Macaca mulatta: one gene and its partners. The protein of the gene in region 3 interacts with the protein of the main gene of each other region in a pairwise test. Links are inferred from orthologs where the notes say so. Each region holds a gene or a part of one and is shown on either strand. Other genes may lie near its edges. The genes, in order: TRIM42, BYSL and LONRF1.

Region 1 (3,655 bases), on a different chromosome or scaffold from region 3:
ATGTGTATTCCCTGGAGATATAAAGAAGAATCAGTCTTGGATCACAAAGAAGATAGGAATAATTTTGTCTTTTCTTTTTTGGAACCCACACTGACCTGCTTAGTGGCAGTTTCTCAACTTTCAGATGAACAATTGTTTTTAGTATAAATAGGTCCTAAATATTGCACTGGACATATTTTATAAAAATTATTGTGTGCCAGAAATTCAAATTTAATTGGGCATCCTATATTTTTATTTGTTAAATCTGGCACCCCATCCTTGCCTGAGAATAGCACCTCATTTTTATCTTTCTCATACCACAATCATTTCATATCCTTCTCACACAACACTTATTTTTTTATGGACCCTGAGCACCTTGAAGGCAGGGATTATGTTTATTTTCCTCTGAATCTCTACATCTCTACACAATGCCTAGAACAAATGTTTTTGAATCAAATAGAACAATTCTCAGGCTTCATCTGCGAAGTCTGGTTGAGGCCAGCAGCCCTCTCTTTGGCCTCAAGTTAACAAATGTTCTGTGCTTAGAGGAAGAGTCCCATGGTGAGTTCTATAATCTCATGATCATCTTAACAGGGTCTCATCCAGAACCTATCATAGAAAAAAAAAATCGGAGAAATAATGTACACAGTACCTTGCAGATATCACTCCATTGCCCAGGACCATTATCATTGATGGCTCTAACTTTAAACACGTATTCTGTGTTGGGGGTCAGGTTGTGCAGCTCCAGATTCTGCTGCATTATGTCCCGAATTTGTCCGCAGAGCTCCATTTGTACGTTGTTAGGAGGGGAAGTAATGACTTCATAGAATTCCATCTCAAAAGAGTCCACGTCTTCTGTTGGACATGTCCAGTAAACCTATGGAAGAAATGAACATACTGGTGTGGTACTGGTATACATCATTCAGTTTTCTTTCCATTAAAGATTTGTGATGTTGACTATCTGTGGGGTGAGTTTAAGCTGACCCTATCCCCTGTAGCTGCCGAAGACTTTTAATTAGACTATGCATAAGTCTTGAAAGGCTGTGTGATGAGGCCTGGCATGATGCTTGTGATGAGTTTCACAAACAGAAGGTTTGTGACTGTTACTGTCAGCCAACGTGGAGGTGACAATTGTCCTCCTGCTTGAAAAATACTGAAAAATAGAGGGGAAGAAAATAAACATCACTCGTAATCTCACAATTCAGTTAATTCATTATTATTTCTTTGCAATTTCAGAACACACACACACACAAACATATATGTATATAACTTGGATTATGTTGCTTTGATTTCTATTTTCTTTTACTTATGTTGTATGTTTTCCTAAATCATTAAAAATTCAGTAAACTACCATCTTTAAAATTTCTCCCGAAATAATTTAATCCTTCTATGGTTGAACATTTAGGTTGTTTCTAATTTTATACTCTAATAAATAAATGCTGTAATAAATACTGTTGGGCATAAATATTTGTCTGAATTTTTAAGAATTTTCTTGGAAGAGATTCCTAGAACTAAAATTGAGTTTAAAAAATCTCTAGGATATTAACTGTACATATTGAAAAGTTACAACATTAAGTTTTAGAATATTTTCCATGCTAAAATCCTAAAGATTTGAGAGTGATGTTAACATAGACTTAATCTTCTGCATTGCTAAGCACTATGATTCCTGTATGAAGTCCATTCCATTATCCTAAAATATGAATCAATGATATTTTAAAATCAAATATCACTATCTGGAAATAGGTTTAGGTGTCCTCTTTTGACAGCAAATGACTTGACTGAGTTGTTTTGCATAGGTCCCTTTTTTGAGCTCATCAGGGGTGACTAATAGGTGGCATGGGGTGACTGTTTTCCATGCCCAGGTATAGAGCAGATACTACCAATTCTCTGGCTCCATAGCAAGAGCCTGCCAACTTCTTAAGAGGTCTGAGTTGGTCAGGAGATGAGACCCAGTGCTATCCCTGAGGTAATAAGCATACACTATAGGCCTTGCTGATCTAGTATCATTTGGAAATGTAGTTCAGCTGCTCAGTTATGGGCATTGCTTATGTGAAGGGCAGAAACACTTCATTATGTCAATAGCCCATGGAATGTTCTATCTTGCAAAGTATGGGTTGTTCTTTGTGTCAGTTATAGACAACAAAACATAGATTATGATGTGTCAGGAGAATGGAAAAGTAGAGCTTGGTCTGTGTCTGGCCTTCATTTTTTAGATCCTTAATAATAAAGTGTGGGCTGTAGACAGCAGCATTGGCAGCACCTGGAAGTTTGTGATAACCTGAATCTCAGGCCCCATTGAAACCTATTAAAATAGAATCTGCATTTTAACAAGATCCCCAGGTGCACATCGATGTTTGAGAACTGCTAGTTTAGAACTCAAGGATCTAAAAGTCTTTGGGAGTGTTCTCAGATTATGAGAGACAAAAGATGAACTCTGCCACGTGGGAGCAGGACATGGGCTGACTCTAGAAAAAAATCCAAGAGGAGGAAAGAGGAACTCAAATAGAATATTTCATTGCACGTTAATTTTTTTCCTCCATAAACCTTAATAAAGTGTTCTACAAACAATTCAATGTGGGTTCAACTAGATTTGAAAGGTATGTTAAAGAAAAGGTCATTTGTTCATGTTGTTCATGTTAGGTCAAGAGGGTCAAAGGGAAGTCATGTTCCTTGAAGCCAGGCAATGGCACTTATAGAGATCTGTGAGAGACCTCACTCTTCACTCTCTGCCTTCAAGGCGGGTTGAATCTCAGAAGAGTTGAAATTTCATTGGGGATGATCCTCCCAATTTTTCCAAATCATAGAGAGTCTGGATATTTGCTTTAGGAAAGGTAGCAATTTAGAGGAAACAGCTGGTAGGTAATGGAGCCTGCATTTGTAACTCCAATTTCTGTGCTGTCTCTATTACAGGCTTTCCTTTGGGAAACATTACACTGCCAAGTAGTGTCTTCAAATTACTTTGGTTCCCAAATAGGGTTCTCTTTCAGTTGAGAAGTTGCCTTTGCAGTGGAGGTAGGGCTTTCAGATATATTTACGACTGTAAGTTAAATATATTGACCGTTTGGTTTAAGCTAATCTTGGGTTACTTAAGATTCCCGGAACTTATCCCTTTTGAATGGGATGACCACAAAGAGTCTAGAGGAGCAGATTTGAGTGACCAGATCCTAGAGGTCAAAGAGACAAGTGCAACTTTTCCTGACTACTGACTTCTACTCTGTACCCCAAACCCTCCCACCTTCCCCACTGGGCCCAGAACTTTTCTTACCTTGGCAGCTCTTGGGTACACCAGAGTCTGGTAGATAACAATTGGGCCCGGGGTCTTCACAGAGCCATCGTTGAATGAGTACCAGTTGTGGAAGCTGCTGCTGTTCTGTACAGACTGGCTGTCTGCTCCAGCACACCAGTAGGTGTAGAGACCATCTGTGGGTTTGGCGGGGGTGGCTGACTGGGCTCTCCCACAGGCCTCCAGACCCACCTTGGCCTTCTCCTCAGTGTTGCTGAAGGATAAGATGGAGGAGCTTCGCTGGTATATCTGCTGGTTGCCGAGGCTGTGGGTGCTGAAAGTGACCTTCCTGGCAATCATTGTTTCTGAGTGCACAGGGTAGGGGGAGGGCAGTGAGTCCCCTGAGGAGCATACCTTCTTGGGCCCTGTGGGGAAGAGCTCATGGATGGCACT
Region 2 (2,375 bases), on a different chromosome or scaffold from region 3:
ACTGACTGTTTTCTCAGTTGTCCATGGTGATGGGAACATCTTCCACATCTCGGGGGACTGCGCTCTGAAGCTCACGCCTGATTTCGGGGGATAGCTGTGGATGGGGCTGCAGCCGGAGCAGTTCTAAGAGGGCCTCTTTCTGGTCTGTGGCCAAGTCGGCCTTGTAGCGCTGGACCAAAGTCAGGAGGCACTGGTGCCAGAGCACAGGCAGTTCACGCTTCTCTGTCCGGAACCCCAGGAAGTGGAAGACTAGGGCATCCAGCACCCGGTAAGGCAGTGCATACTTCTTATCCAGCAGCAGTCGCAGGAAGATGCTGTTGGCACCACTGTATTCCATCTCAGCAATTTTCAGCATGGCCGCGCTAGTGGGAAAGGGAGGTGGGGTAGAGTTAGCGGGGAAAACATTGGAAGAAGGATCCTACTTCTCCCTCTGTGCTTTCCCCCTTTTTTCTTCCCCTCTGCTGGCCCTTACACTATGGTATTCCCCAGGGACCTTCTCACCTACCCAATCGTATTATACTTGCTTGACTTGAGTCACCATCTCTACAGGGATCCACCCAAATCTCTACCTCCAGCATAGACTGCTTGTTTCAGTACCCAACTAGAGTATGGTCCAAACATCTCAACGTCTCCACCCTAACTACTTTCTTCCTGTGTTTCCTACTCATTTGTTCATCTATTTACTGAGTACTTTCTTTATACCAGGCACTCGGGCCCTGTTGTTGCAGAACTTACATTTAGGGGGATAATGATACACCTACTCATTGGCTTAAATAAGCACAAACCCAAGACTATCCTTAGCTTCTTCTCCACTCTACCCATCCCCAAGTCCTGGCAATTCCACTATCTGGATATCCACTGACCAGCCCCCACCCCGCCGCTCCACCCCCAGCAACGCTACCTGGAGTGCAACACAGGGATGGAGCACTTGGTGATGATGCTACCCACAATGATGGCTTCCCGGAGGGTGCAAGTGCCAGACTCGCACAGTGGAATCAGGACCCCTGGGGAGAGTCAAAGGGCAGTCACTATGAGCCCAGGATGAGAAAAAGGAGTTACAGTAGGAAGCATTCCCACCCAGCCCAGGGACAGCTAGCAATTTCCCACATCAGGCCTGCTGTGTTCCCCATAGAAGCTCCAGCCCTTCACTTTCTTCCCTGCCTCTGGGATCCCACCTTTGAACCAGGCTCCAGGTTTGAAAAGGGCCTTCTTGAGAGCCATATAGAGATGGAAGTTGAGTCGTTTGTATTCAGCAATGTCATCTCGTACTCGCGGGAGCAGGACAAGGTTGTAGAAGCGCTGGGCCATGCGTTCCTTCAGGTTAGAGGCAAAAATCCTAGTGGGAGTTAAGTCGGGGAAGTTTCCAAGTCACACGACAGTCTGGACCCGGCCCATTAAATATCACCATGGATAGTGCATACAAGAGGTTTTCAAGTAAAATATGGGACCTTTCTTTCAGTGAGGGATGTGTGGGAGCTGTGTGCATGCAACACCCATCAGCTTAGAGAGAGAATAGGAGGGGCAATGAGATATATCCAAATGAGGAGTGCCGTCTGTCTGTGGGAGAGCCAGAGCTTGTGCAAACTGATGGCTACGCAGCTACTCTCCTTCCTCTTGCTATCATGGCTTCTCTCAATTTTGCTATCACTAGGGCCCTGAGCATGTCTGGACAGTCACAGACTTCTGAGGGTCCTGCTACAGGGTTGTATCCAGTGGCTATAAAAGCCTCTCCCCTAGAAATTGATCATGGAGGGCTGTATCCCAGTGGCTATAAAAGCCTCTTCCCCTAGAAATTCATCACAGAGGGTTCCTAACTGGCTAACTGGGTCTTGGCCCCAAAAAATGACACAGGAAAAGCTAGAAAAATGATGCTATAAAGTAGCAGAGAGGGCCCTGGGGCCAGAGGCAAGGAAAGCCTGTCCGTCCCAAGCCCAGCCTGCACCTATAGACCCAAGGCCTGCAAATCCCCATCTACTCTACCTGGTGGCTTGGTACATGGCGGCTGCAGTCCAGGCCTCAGGCTCTGTGACGTAGAGGATTTGTTCCCAGTTGGAGAGTGCAGGGATGATCTTAAATGCCTTAGGCAGTTTTCCACTGCGGTACTTAGATAATACCTAGGGATGAGGGAGGTAAAACAATCATTGTCATCCACATATGGCAAGCTTGCTGTGGGCTAGGAACTTGTCTGGGTGCTTTTAATATATTAACTCATTTCATCCCCACAATAACCCTTTAAGGAGGTGCCATTATTATGCTCGTTTTACAGATGACCAGTGAGAGTTCCAGTAACTGACCCAAGGTTGCCAAGTCATTTACAGGCAGAGCAGGAATCTGAAACCACACACTCTGCCTCTTAGGTCTGTTTTCTACTGCCA
Region 3 (3,755 bases):
CTTCGAACTCTGAAGATATTAAACAATGCAAGATCTTGACGTAAGTTCAATATGACTAAGCACTTGGGACAAAAGATGACCCGAAAGATGATCCTTTCAGTTACACAGTCTATAAATTTACCTGTAATACCTAAAGTCAGCTGCTATTCTAGATGTCTATTTTCTTGGGGATTATTCCCCCAACTATCCCCCAACTATCATGCCATTCCCCCAACTATCATGCCAATGGATAGACACTAAAATCTTGAAATACGCGTAACACAAGGTTTATCAACAGTGGCACTTGGGGCCTGATAATTCTTTGTTGTGGGAATCCTGCTGTGCCTCATAGGATGTCTGAGCAGCACCCCGGGCCTCTCCCACTAGATGTCGGTACCAGCACCACCCCCACAAGAGGTGGCAACCAAAAATGTCTCCAGATATTGCTCTAGATAATGTCCCCTGAGAGAGGGGAGGTAAATCCTGCTGGTAAAGAACTACTGATTTAAAGAACAACTCTTCCTTTTACATAAGAGAAGCTTGACACTGCCCCCTTTCAGCGCCTAAAACCACCTTAAGAAGAAAGTGCTAGCTAACCTAGGTTAGGAGGCCGAGGCTGCTTCTTGGAGACTAAGAAATGCACTCAAGACCTACAAGGCCTTTCCCCACAGCTTGATCCTAAGTGGAACGGCCAAGAGAAGCGTGGCAAAGAACTCTGGATCAGGAAGCCCCTCTCATCTTTACCATAAGCTAGGTGCACTGCAAAGTACATAGGAAATAAGCATGATCTGAAACAGGCCGGCTGAAACTTTCGAGAGAAACCAGTTCAGGCATTTCCAGGTAGCAAGGGACCACCCGGGGCAGCTCCGCCCCGCGCCCCAAGCCCGGCGGCCTGCGGGGCCTCCCGGGGCCGGGTGCCCGCCCGGAGCTCCCGCCACGCCCACCGGACGTCACCCGTTACACAACGACCCCCGCCCCCAGCTTATGCAATTCTGCCCTCCCGCGGCTCCCAATTGTCCCGGTGACTTTTGTGGGTGAGGAAGGGAGACGCCGCCTTCCCGGCCTAGTTGTCCTCGTGGGGGATTCTCTCCCCACCCCGGCAGTCGTTTCCCCGCGGCGGGCCTGGCGCGAGAGAGTCAATTCCCGGAAAGCGCGCGGCAGGAAGCGAGCGGCCGCTCGGGATAGCCCAGCTCCCACCCATCCCGCGCCGGGGCACCCACGGCTCCGGTCACCCACTCCGCGCCCGGAGCGCGCGCCCGACGGCCAGGCCGCGGCCGAGGGAACCCCGCGCCGAGCGCCCCTCCCCGCGCTGCGTCACAGTCGGCTCCCAGGGCGATCCCCATTGTGACCGAAGCACCCCGGGGCGCCGCCCCCTCCCACACCCCCCAGCACCCCGAGACCCAACACGCCAGTGGCCCAGCGGCCCCGGGGAAGCAGAGGAGACTCCCGGGACGCAGACAAGCTCCGGGTCCCCGGCCCTCGGGGCCAGGAGGGTGCGGTCGGCCCGGCCCCGCCGCATCCCCGCGCGGTCACCTGCTCGCAGCGCCTCGCAGGCGGCGGCCAGGGCCTCCCGGTAGCGCCCCTGGTGTAGCAGCTCCCCGAGTCTGCCAGCCGCCCGGGCCCGCTCGCGCTGGCCCGGGAACCACTTCTCGGCCAGGTGGTTGAGGACGACGCTGGTTCTGAAGTCTGAGGCGGCGATGGCGGCTGCCAGAGGCGGCGGCCGCGGGGCGGTCCCTTCAGCATCAGTGGCACTGGCGGTGGCGGGCGGCAGCCGGTCCCGGCAGAGGCGGCAGCGGGCGCGGAGTTCCCTCCGCAGGCAGCGGCGGCAGTAGCTGTGGCCACAGGGCACGGTCACCGGCTCGCTCAGGAAGCCCCGGCAGCCCAGGCATCTGAGGAGCCCGCAGGCGCCGCCGTCCGCGCCCGCAGCCGGGGCCGCGCTCCAGCTCAGCCCGTGGCGGAGCCGGTAGTTGAACACCAGGCAGTCCACCAGGGCGCCCAGGCACTCGGGCCTGGCCGGGGCCCCGCGGCGCAGCGCCGCCGCGAACGCCTCCAGCGCGCCCTTCAGGTGGCCGCCCAGCGCCAGCAGCTCCCCGCGGCGGAGCAGCAGTTCCCAGCGCTCCGACTCCGCGGCCGCGCGCTCCAGCCGAAGGCCGCTGCCGCCGCCCACTTCCCAGAACCGGCCTCGGCCCTGCGGCGCCGGGGCCATCTCCCGACTCCCTCCCGGGGAACTCCTCGCCACCGCCGGAGAGGACATGGCCCGCGGAGGGCTGCGCTGCCGCCGCCCGCCGCCACGGTCCGGGAGCCTCCCGGGCGCGCGGCTCCGCACGCGGCCCGCGAGCAGGGGGGCGTGGCGCGCGGACACGGCGGGGCGGCGCGCGCCCGGGAAGCCCCGAGGGCGGGGCCTGGCGAGGGCGGGGCCGGGCTCGGCGACGGCGCCGGGACTCCCCCACGCAGCCCGCGGCCGCGCTCGCGAGGAGCCAAGCGCTGGGCCCCGCCCCTCCCGAGCCCCCTCCCGGCGGGGGCGCAGGTCGGATGATTCCTCCGTCGGAGATCTAATTGGCTTCTCCGGAAAGGAGGGCTCGGCTCGTGACGGAACAAAGCCCGATGGAGCCCAGAGTCTCCGTCCCCGCTTGCCTGCTCGCCGACGCCCCCACCTGCGGTGGCCCGCGCCCTTGCCGCGCGGGACTCAGGGTCACCACCCCTCCCCCGACGCCCCCGCCCAAGCCGGACCTGCCCCAACTCCTGGCGGGCGGGGGTCTCCCGGCGTGTCCTCACGCTTGTGCGGGTCTGCATTTTCATTCCTCTATGCCCAGGTTCCAGGTGGGCGCTCCCAAGCAGGGGGCCTGGGAGGGCACCTTCGGCAGATGACTGGGACTCTTCGGTTCTAGAGGACTCAACTTGAAACAGGAACACAAAACCCACGTTCCTGGGGCGACTCCCTCCAGAGGGCAAGGAGTTTTTCCTGGTGCCAGGTGACTGCTGCCCTTTGCTTAAAACTCATCGTAGGCCCACCTCGAGGGAGAAAGCCCACACAGTTCCTCAGGTGTCTCCACACCTCAGGCACTGCCTTACAGCTGGTTAAAGTCTATAGTTGGCATATTTAAAAGAAAACACCGAGAAAAATGTTGTTCACGTGGCGGTCACCGTATTACTACAACCCAAGCAGGGTCTGCAGTTTTGCCAACAGAAGAAAATGATGGGGTTGATATATAATAGGTGCTATTTCCCTTAAACTTCACAGCGGCAAGTTTAAAGCTCTCCGCTGAAAATATTTATAGATTTGATTATAGGGTATTAGATTGTTAATGTTAGGAGTCACTTAGAACTTTTAGTCCTTTTTCAAATGATGGGAAACAGAGGGAAAGTTATTTGTCAAAAATCACACAGCTAATATAGATTTTAAGATCACGTCTATTCCACTATTATGTTACTACGTTAGACTGATCATATATAATATTTAATAAAATAATAGTAATATTTCATAGAAATAGATTGTCAAAGTAAAGGAAGTTGCTAATTGGAAAGTTCACCTGAGCATAGTATGTCTGAAAATGGTATAAGTTTAATATTTCTCTTTATAAGGAACGGCAATTAAGGCTAAAAAATGTTTTGAGTTAATGTGTTTTCACTACACAATGAGCAAGTCGTGTAACGTCAGAAAAGATAGAGATATATTACCCTAAAGGGAATGAATAAAAAAGAGGTGCTTGAGAAAAAGCCAAGCCTCCTGTTCCAACAGGATGCAGACAGAAACAAGTTCATTTATCATTCACATT

Evidence for each region.
Region 1: the proteins of LONRF1 (region 3) and TRIM42 interact in binary tests that used the Homo sapiens proteins (3 or more experiments, as listed by UniProt). The two-hybrid records come from large-scale screens. The link is inferred for Macaca mulatta from reciprocal best matches to the Homo sapiens genes LONRF1 and TRIM42.
Region 2: the proteins of LONRF1 (region 3) and BYSL interact in binary tests that used the Homo sapiens proteins (3 or more experiments, as listed by UniProt). The two-hybrid records come from large-scale screens. The link is inferred for Macaca mulatta from reciprocal best matches to the Homo sapiens genes LONRF1 and BYSL.

The regions. Positions count from the first base shown.
Region 1 is NC_133407.1:43,695,649-43,699,303, reverse strand, and holds part of TRIM42 (tripartite motif-containing protein 42), read right to left. Parts: coding exon 3,245-3,655; intron 857-3,244; coding exon 632-856; intron 1-631.
Region 2 is NC_133409.1:140,241,183-140,243,557, forward strand, and holds part of BYSL (bystin), read right to left. Parts: intron 2,115-2,375; coding exon 1,981-2,114; intron 1,337-1,980; coding exon 1,176-1,336; intron 1,005-1,175; coding exon 902-1,004; intron 363-901; coding exon 14-362; 3' UTR 1-13. UniProt on the Homo sapiens protein: Required for processing of 20S pre-rRNA precursor and biogenesis of 40S ribosomal subunits. May be required for trophinin-dependent regulation of cell adhesion during implantation of human embryos.
Region 3 is NC_133413.1:13,058,413-13,062,167, forward strand, and holds the start of LONRF1 (LON peptidase N-terminal domain and RING finger protein 1), read right to left. Parts: upstream 2,319-3,755; 5' UTR 2,234-2,318; coding exon 1,513-2,233; intron 1-1,512.